Rattus norvegicus: one gene and its partner. Each later gene encodes a partner of the first gene's protein in a complex. Links are inferred from orthologs where the notes say so. Each region holds a gene or a part of one and is shown on either strand. Other genes may lie near its edges.

What was found.
Region 2: the proteins of Ret (region 1) and Dok1 are in contact, whole or in part, in a crystal structure (PDB 1UEF), measured with the Mus musculus proteins. The link is inferred for Rattus norvegicus from reciprocal best matches to the Homo sapiens genes RET and DOK1. Residues at the interface, in NP_033076.2 of Mus musculus: Thr1056, Trp1057, Ile1058, Glu1059, Asn1060, Leu1062, Tyr1063; in NP_034200.4 of Mus musculus: Tyr203, Thr204, Leu205, Leu206, Arg207, Arg208, Tyr209, Gly210, Arg211, Asp212, Ser217, Phe218, Glu219, Gly221, Arg222, Arg223, Thr230, Phe242, Glu246, Ile249, Gln252.

Annotation. Positions count from the first base shown.
Region 1 is NC_086022.1:153,016,459-153,020,260, reverse strand, and holds part of Ret (proto-oncogene tyrosine-protein kinase receptor Ret isoform a precursor), read left to right. Parts: intron 1-40; coding exon 41-166; intron 167-764; coding exon 765-875; intron 876-1,547; coding exon 1,548-1,667; intron 1,668-2,224; coding exon 2,225-2,481; intron 2,482-3,802. UniProt on the Homo sapiens protein: Receptor tyrosine-protein kinase involved in numerous cellular mechanisms including cell proliferation, neuronal navigation, cell migration, and cell differentiation in response to glia cell line-derived growth family factors (GDNF, NRTN, ARTN, PSPN and GDF15).
Region 2 is NC_086022.1:117,094,788-117,099,234, reverse strand, and holds Dok1 (docking protein 1), read left to right. Parts: upstream 1-1,600; 5' UTR 1,601-1,608; coding exon 1,609-1,668; intron 1,669-1,687; exon of another isoform or gene 1,688-1,836; intron 1,837-1,931; exon of another isoform or gene 1,932-1,936; coding exon of another isoform or gene 1,937-1,975; coding exon 1,976-2,275; intron 2,276-2,414; coding exon 2,415-2,508; intron 2,509-2,624; coding exon 2,625-2,809; intron 2,810-2,979; coding exon 2,980-3,783; 3' UTR 3,784-4,064; downstream 4,065-4,447. UniProt on the Homo sapiens protein: DOK proteins are enzymatically inert adaptor or scaffolding proteins. They provide a docking platform for the assembly of multimolecular signaling complexes. DOK1 appears to be a negative regulator of the insulin signaling pathway.

The DNA of each region.
Region 1 (3,802 bases):
ACACCAGTCCCAGTGACCTTGGCTTGTCTGTCCCTCCCAGACATTGCAGAAGAAGTGGGCTGCCCCAAGTCCTGTGCAGTAAACAAGAGGCGACCTGAGTGTGAGGAGTGTGGTGGCCTGGGTTCTCCAACTGGCAGATGTGAGTGGCGTCAGGGAGATGGTAAAGGTAGGTTCGGGAGCTGGCAGGGGGTGGGATGGGGCTGGGGAGGAGGATGGGGGAGGAGAGCTGGGTAGGGGCCATCCTGGCTGCCGTCAGGAGTGAGTTCGTACAAGGTCTGCTAGTCCCTCATTTAGCTTCCCTGATCCCTGTCTTCTAAGCCTGTCCCTCCTGTGGAACCAGTGCCAGCAGAGGAGGCAGGGCTTGTGCCACCTCAATTAGATTCACTCTGGGGACCACTATACCAGAGCTGGGACCGACAGGGGACAGAGTGGTTCTTCCAGAAAGTCCCAGCCAGAAAGTGTTTCTGCCTCACTACAGGTTCACCTCCCGCTTTAAGGTGCTTGTGGCCAATATAGCTTTGACAGATCCTTGCCTTTAAGTGGCTTCCTTAGAGGAAGGCTATCTGCAGTCCTAGAATGCCCGGCACTTCAGCCCTTGGGGGACCCCTTGTCATTCCTTGCTGGTGTCTGAGGTGTATGTGGCGTTACTCAACTTGTCCCTTCATCTCGCTGTCCCTAGAGAGGCAAGGTTGGACCATGACAAAGGCAGACCATGGAGGGATATGCCCATGCAGGGTGACAGCCTGTTTTGTACTCCATCACAGGGATCACCAGGAACTTCTCCACCTGTTCTCCTAGCACCAGGACCTGTCCTGATGGCCACTGTGATGCTCTGGAGAGCCGGGATATCAACATTTGCCCCCAGGACTGTCTCCGTAAGCCCAGGCTAGGCCCAGGGTGATGCATTTTACCAGTGTGCAGGGAAGGGTCAAGGCAAGGGAGCTGGCAGCGGAGAGCTTGGAAGCCCTAACCTACACCTGAACCCAGGCTGGAGCCTCAAGTGTCTATAGGATGCTTCAGGCCAGCTGGGGGTATTGCACGAGCTTAGCATATGTAGGGCCATGGCTTCACCTTAGCACCAAAGAAGAACAGTGTGTAATAGTAGTAGGTTCAACCAAGCAGGATGTGCCAAGCCAGTCCTGCTACCATCTCATTTGAATGCTGGCTGTGCTCCCCCAGGACGGGGCTTGTGCAGCCTGGCCTGTCTATCCTTGACTGACTCATGAAGCTGCAGTCCCCGGCCTGCTGGCTCAGGACCCACGTTGTCTCTGGTCCATTTCCTCCATCTTTACTGTTACTGGGGGCTAGCTGTGGTTGATGCCTTCCGGGACCTCAGCAGTGATTCTAAACAATCTTGGCTCCCCCCTACTTCCATAGCCAGTATAGGGGTATTGTGTTAAACTCTGCCCAGGTGAAAGGGGCTTCCGAGCCTACTGCCTTCACTGGGCCTAAGCGACTGACCCCGAGTTGGGAAGGCTAATCACAGTCCGAGGACTCTGAGGCATCAGGCCACACCAGGAGACTGAATATTCCACATATGTCCTCAGGTGGCCCCATTGTTGGCGGGCATGAGCGAGGGGAGCGCCAGGGGATTAAAGCCGGCTATGGCATCTGCAACTGTTTCCCTGATGAGAAGAAGTGCTTCTGCGAGCCAGAGGACAGCCAGGGTAAGGAGCACCTCTCACAGGGCTCTCTGACTTCCTCAAACCCTCAAGGAAGCTCTGAGCAACATTTGTGTGGTTCAGCAAGGGAAGAGACTATGGGGAGGCAGTTAGACCCCAGGAGGCTGCTCCTTCCCTTTGGGCCCATTTTACCATTGGCACCACCATGAATCGGGGTCAGAATCCCTATAAAGCATATCCTAGCCACAATTCTCAATAAAGGATGCTCAGGAAAGCAGTCCTTCCAAGTAACTTGGTCAGATTTCCCGGACAGGGTCTTGCTTAGCCTCTGGTATTATGGAAGTGTCCTGGAATTTGGCTCACTCTAGGACCTCCCTGTCCAAAGCCTGTGATCCTTTCTTTCTTTGTCCTACCTTTCTATACTGACTATTCAGACATTTGCAACAGGAAAACAGGATAGCTGGTGTTGAGTGCAGTCTTCACACCACTGTTTGTACTGTGAGAGGTTTGACAGTAGGAGAATTGGTACAGCGGTGCCTGTACCCAGTCAGTAGCATCTCAGACGGTCACAGTGCAGTCCCTGTCACTCTGCCCTGCCACAGGCCCATTGTGCGATGAGCTGTGCCGTACGGTCATCACAGCCGCTGTCCTCTTCTCCTTCATAATCTCTGTCCTGCTGTCCACCTTCTGCATCCACCGCTACCACAAGCATGCGCACAAGCCACCCATCGCGTCAGCCGAAATGACCTTCTGCCGGCCGGCCCAGGGCTTCCCAATCAGCTATTCTTCCTCGGGCACCCGCCGGCCCTCACTGGACTCCATGGAGAACCAGGTCTCTGTGGACTCTTTCAAGATCCCGGTAAGGGGCCCCAAGAGGTAGGTGGACAGTGTTGGAGGAAACATGGCCACAGAGGCTTTCTTTACTACTTGGGGTGCCCACAGATGGTTGATATAGCCTTACGTAGATCCCCGTCGCATAAGGGCAAGAGCAGGGGGTTGCTTGCCTTCCAGGGCTGTGAAGGCAGACTGTCTAGGAAGGAAGTGACAGGTGCTGATTCAGATAGGACTGGCTGGGGTCTGAGATGTGGGCCTTGAGGTCCTGGTGAAAGTGAGCGTGGTCCTACCTAGCAGGGGAGGTGTGAGCAGAAGCCCCGAGAGAGAGGACCAGTAATTTCTACCCACACACAGGCATGCATACACTCATGCCCACCCAGCAAGTGTTTTATGTCAAGAGTAGGAACAGTGGAAGAGGCCCATGTTCTATAGCCCTACAATAGGCTTACCCATTGAGAAGAGGGGTGGGATGGGGATGGGGCAGAGTGTGTGGGGATCATAAAGAAGTGCTGACCCAGAGGTCCAGGGTAGCAGGAGTATATAGGGTAGATACCCCAACATGGAAGGGGGAGGCACTGGGCGCCCAGAAGAAAGCCCCAGCCACTCTTGAGATGGACAAACCTTTCCGTGGGTGCTGCTCAAGACCGGACTACCACTGAGGCCTCCCTATCATGGTCATGTCTTCTCTGTGGTTGCCATGTATGTGTCTGCCCTCACATTCGGGAAGACCCTGCCCCTTCAGCACCCTGGTTATCTGTTCGGGATTTGGAAGCCAGGGTGCTCTGGGAACAGCTAGGACAGTGTTATGGAGACAAGCGCTATGAATAGAGAAAGCCACAGGTTTGGGTGGAGGGACTGTGATGCAGACACCTGTGGGAGCACCCAGTGGCCATGGACCCCTGGCAGTTTGAAGTGGCTATGAAGTGGCCTTAGGTGGCTAGGGGGCCCTACCTTTCCCAGGCCTACGTGAATGACACCCAGCCCTCACACAGGGCTGGAGAAGTTCTTCCTACATGTGCTCTTTGCCTCTCTTGATCCTAGTGTGTGGTTCCTCCTCTGGCTGTAGCTGGATCTGCAGCAGGCTTCTAGACTAAGCCACCAGAGCTCTCTGTAACCCAGATAGCACCGGGAGGCTGCATAGCAAGGCCATATCATGTAAACAAGGGCAGAGGCACACACACGCTCCACACGTCTGCTCCAGAGTTAGCCTGGTGCCCAAAAGCTATACCCACAGAAGCCCCATGACTCAACCATTCAGCCTGATTTCCCTAATGTAAAACATGGAGAGTTGGTACTGTGACTCATTCCTCTAATTCCAGCACTCGGGGGGAAAAAAGGGAAGAAGA
Region 2 (4,447 bases), about 36 Mb from region 1:
ACCAAAAACTCAAAGCACGCAGTAATGGGGAATGACACAGAGAGGCAAAAACCACGAGGAGAGGGGATCAAAGCCAAGGTGCAAGCACAGGAGAAATGACAGCAGACCCATGCGGTTAGACAGACTCCGATGGCAGCACAGGAAAAGGGAGCCTAGGAGACCTGTCCTGGAGATCTCAGCACTAGGAATGAGAGGAGTCTTGGCAATTTCCTATGGAGGCAGATGCCCAGGCAGAAAGGGCTGAGGCTAAGCAGAGCAGGAGAACCTTCTGCCACCCTCCCTAGCACATGGGCTCCCAAATATGCTGCAGAGTCAGGGGCTCCAGGAGATCTAGACTTCAAGCTGGGCAGGGTTTGGTGTGGAGTTATCCAAGCTCCCTGTAACACCTCTCTTTCTGTCACTGGGCAACCAGAAGCTAGGGCTAGCTCCTTAGCTCAGGCCTTCTGTATCCAAGGCTGAAAACAGTCCTTCCCAGTAAGGGGGGCCCTGAATTGCTTCCCCCAACTCAGACAAGACAGCTTTGTTCTGGGGGCATTTGGCTCCGAAGCCCGGTGTTCAGCTTAGGGCCTACAAACTGCACCCTGAAGTCTCCATCCCCAACAATCCGCTCAGCTCTCTGCTTTGCTGTTTCGCTCCTTTAGCAAGAATAAAACTGTCAGTTGGTTGGCTTCCCCGACTCCATCCCAAATCAGCCTTTCCCCTGGTCCACCATCCTCTCCATCCACAACTCCTCTTCCCGCTGGCCGGCTGTAACTCCCCTACCTTCGACTAGGCAGAACTCCAGAGGCTGGAAGCAGAGTCCTGGTCCTGGAGATTACTTTCAGGACTTCTCAGAAAAAAAGTGTTCGGCCAGGGGAGACTGGACCCCCCCTTCCTCCCCCCTCTTCGTTGGTCCCTCCTACGTCCTCTAGAGCCCTCCCACATTCCGCTTTCTCCCTCCATTCGGGCCAGGCCAGTTCCCTCCTCTAGATCTTCCCCTCCCCTGTGGAGCTGGCTGCAGCCACGCCACCCCCTCCCACTCCTCCGGGCTCAATGAAGCTTTCTTTTCCCGCAGGTTGGGAGGCCAGGCAGCGGCGTTCAGGATGCTGGACTTGCAAATGGTTTCGGGACAGCAGGATGGCCCCTGTGGCCGCAGGAAGCTTTTCAGCCCGTAGCCGTTTCTCCACATCTCCAGCTAGACAGAGTATCAACAGACCAGTCCAATTCCAGAGCTGGACCATGGGAACAAGGTCCCACAAAGAAAACTAATGTCCTGAGGGCCCTCTTGGTCATTATGGCGACCCCAAAGTCCCTGCAGGTGATGTCACGGCCTTCACTCTGATGTCACGTTAAATATATGTCGTCACTCCCAGCTTCCACCCCCAGGCACTAGGGCCTTTAGTTGGTGACCGCGACTTCCCTGAGTAGTGCCACTGTGCGTGCGGTGAGATAAAGGCTCCCCTTGGGTTCTTCCTGACGGCTCGTTTTCCTTCGACCCCTCCGTCCCCGCCCCCCCTCCCCGCATCACCGCCGCAGGGGCCCGGGAGGGGCGGACACGCCTCCGGCACCCTGCAGCCCCGCCCAGCCCCGCCCCCAGGGCCAGGAAGCGCGGAAGGAATCGCCTTGGCCATGGACGGGGCTTTGATGGAGGGTCCGCTTTTTCTGCAGAGTCAGCGCTTCGGGACCAAGGTAGTTTGTTTGTGTCGTGGGGGGATGGCAAAACTCCCCTGGACTAGAAATGGGTGAAAGAATCCAGAAAGAGGGAATGGGCCGGAAGAAGGTCGGAACGGCGCGCGAGCAATCGTAGAGCCCCTAAGACGTTCGTTCCCTTGAAAGTCTCGGGCTGTGCCCTCCTTGGTGCGGATTTGGGATGGCATTATCTTTGGGAAAGTAGCCCAGCCTGGGAATCCCCAGACTCAGATCGGCCTGCGTGGGTCTCTTCTCCCTTGTAGGGCGCATGCTGCCGCTCACTCTCGAGTCTTTCGTTCTTTCCCAGAGGTGGAAGAAAACTTGGGCTGTGCTTTACCCAGCCAGCCCTCACGGCGTGGCGCGGCTGGAATTCTTTGATCACAAGGGGTCGAGCTCTGGAGGGGGTCGAGGCGGCTCTCGCCGTCTAGACTGCAAGATGATACGCCTGGCTGAATGTGTGAGCGTGGTGCCTGTGACTGTGGAGAGTCCCCCTGAGCCCGGCGCCTCTGCCTTCCGCCTGGACACCGCACAACGCTCGCACCTGCTTGCAGCGGACGCCGCATCCAGCACTGCCTGGGTGCAGATTTTATGCAGAACCGCTTTTCCGGTGAGTGTCTGGGGGTGGTCACCCCTGGGCCTAAGGGGCACTGCGAGGATGAAACTACTATAACGGCATTGGACTTCTTGCACCTACCCTAGACCCAAGAGAATTATGTATATGGTCCTCGATGTTCTCTTTTCTGCAGAAAGGCGGCTGGGCTTTGGCTCAGACGGAGAACCCACCTAAGTTTTCTGCCCTGGAGATGCTGGAGAATTCGCTGTACAGCCCCACCTGGGAAGGTATTAGTCTGGCAGAAATGGAGTGGGGTGAAGAGGTGCCCTTGGGGAGATAGTGATTGGAGTCTACCAAGTCCCCAACCTGCCCCGGCGCTCCTTCTCTTCCTGTGTTCTTCCAGGATCCCAATTCTGGGTAACCTCGCAGAAGACCGAGGCTTCTGAACGCTGCGGCTTGCAAGGCTCCTACGTACTGAGGGTAGAAGCTGAGAAGCTGACCCTTCTGACTTTGGGTGCACAGAGTCAAATCCTGGAGCCGCTCCTTTTCTGGCCCTACACTCTGTTGCGACGCTATGGCCGAGACAAGGTGCATGGGGCTGTCTGGGAGGATGACCATCGGGGAGGGCTACTGGGTTGGGTAGCTGTAGGTGACAACTCCATTCCCAGGTAGTCTCTTCTGTGCAGATATACTAAATTGGTCAGACCTGTGACTCATTTCTTTAGACACTCCTAACCTGTTTCCCTCCACACCCTCAGGTAATGTTCTCCTTTGAAGCGGGTCGCCGCTGCCCCTCTGGCCCTGGGACCTTCACCTTCCAGACTGCCCAGGGAAATGACATCTTTCAGGCAGTTGAGGCTGCTATCCAGCAGCAGAAAGCCCAAGGAAAGGTGGGACAGGGACAAGATATCACCAGAACTGACTCCCATGATGGGGAGACAGAGGGGAAGATGGCTCCCACTCCTGTTCCCCAGGAACCCCTGGGCAGCCCTCCAGCCCTATATGCAGAGCCTTTAGACTCCCTGCGAATTCCTCCAGGCCCTTCTCAGGACTCTTTGTATTCAGACCCCCTGGGCAGCACCCCTGCTGGGGCAGGGGAAGGGGTGCAGCGGAAGAAACCTCTCTATTGGGATTTGTATGGGCACGTGCAGCAGCAGTTGCTGAAAACCAAGCTGATAGACTCCAAAGAGGACCCCATCTATGATGAGCCTGAGGGCCTGGCCCCTGCCCCTCTCCGGGGCCTTTATGATCTGCCTCAGGAGCCTAAGGATGCATGGTGGTGCCAGGCTCGGCTGAAGGAAGAGGGCTATGAGCTCCCTTACAACCCCGCCACCGACGACTACGCTGTGCCACCCCCTCGGAGCTCAAAGCCTACCCCTGCCCCCAAGCCACAGGGCTTGATCCTTCCTGAATCTGGTACCACAGCTGGCAGTGGCAGCAAAGGCTCAGATACAGCTCTGTACAGCCAGGTCCAGAAAAGTGGGACCCCAGGGAGATGGGACTGTGGACTCTCTAGAGTAGGGAATGACAGGGTGGGGGTCAAGTCAGAGGGTTCCACCTGAGACAGTTGCTGATAGGAGGTCCATGGGGTGGTGGCACTGAAGATCAGAGAAACCTGAGGGTGGGAGGGGCCGGGGGACCAGAGGAGTCAAGTGATGACCAGTCCCCGGAAGTTGTGGGAGTAGAAGAAACAAGGCTGCTGGACTGACTAGGCCTGTGGGAGAGGTCCACTGGTCAGAGTGAGGACACTTTGGGGAGGCCAGTATGGATCCTCACTCTTGTTCTTTGCCAGATACGTTTTAATTTATAAGGCAAATCTCATTAAAGGTGGCTTGATTGAAAAGGTCTCTGCGCATGAATAGACACTGGGGCAGGCATGCGCTGGGAGGGTGGGGAGGGGTCAAGGGAGGAAGCAGAAATATGTTGGGGACCGTGGAAGGATGAAGGGCCCCAGGGAGGGAAGCCTACAGTGTGGTGATTCACAGCCTGGGTGGTCATAGCCTCTCCTGGGCCGGTCTCTGACTCATTGACCCTGTTGTCTGTTACCTGCCATTCTTAACTCTCCTCTGCTGCCCTTACACCAAGTGTGAGAATTTGGCTGTGCTACAGAAAGGCAGCTGGCACGAGATAAGACACACTTCCCCAGCTCTTAGTGTAATCTAAAGCATAGAAGGCACTTTACCAATGGCAGCCATTTTTCTGTAGTTCGAGGGAGCTATAGAAGGT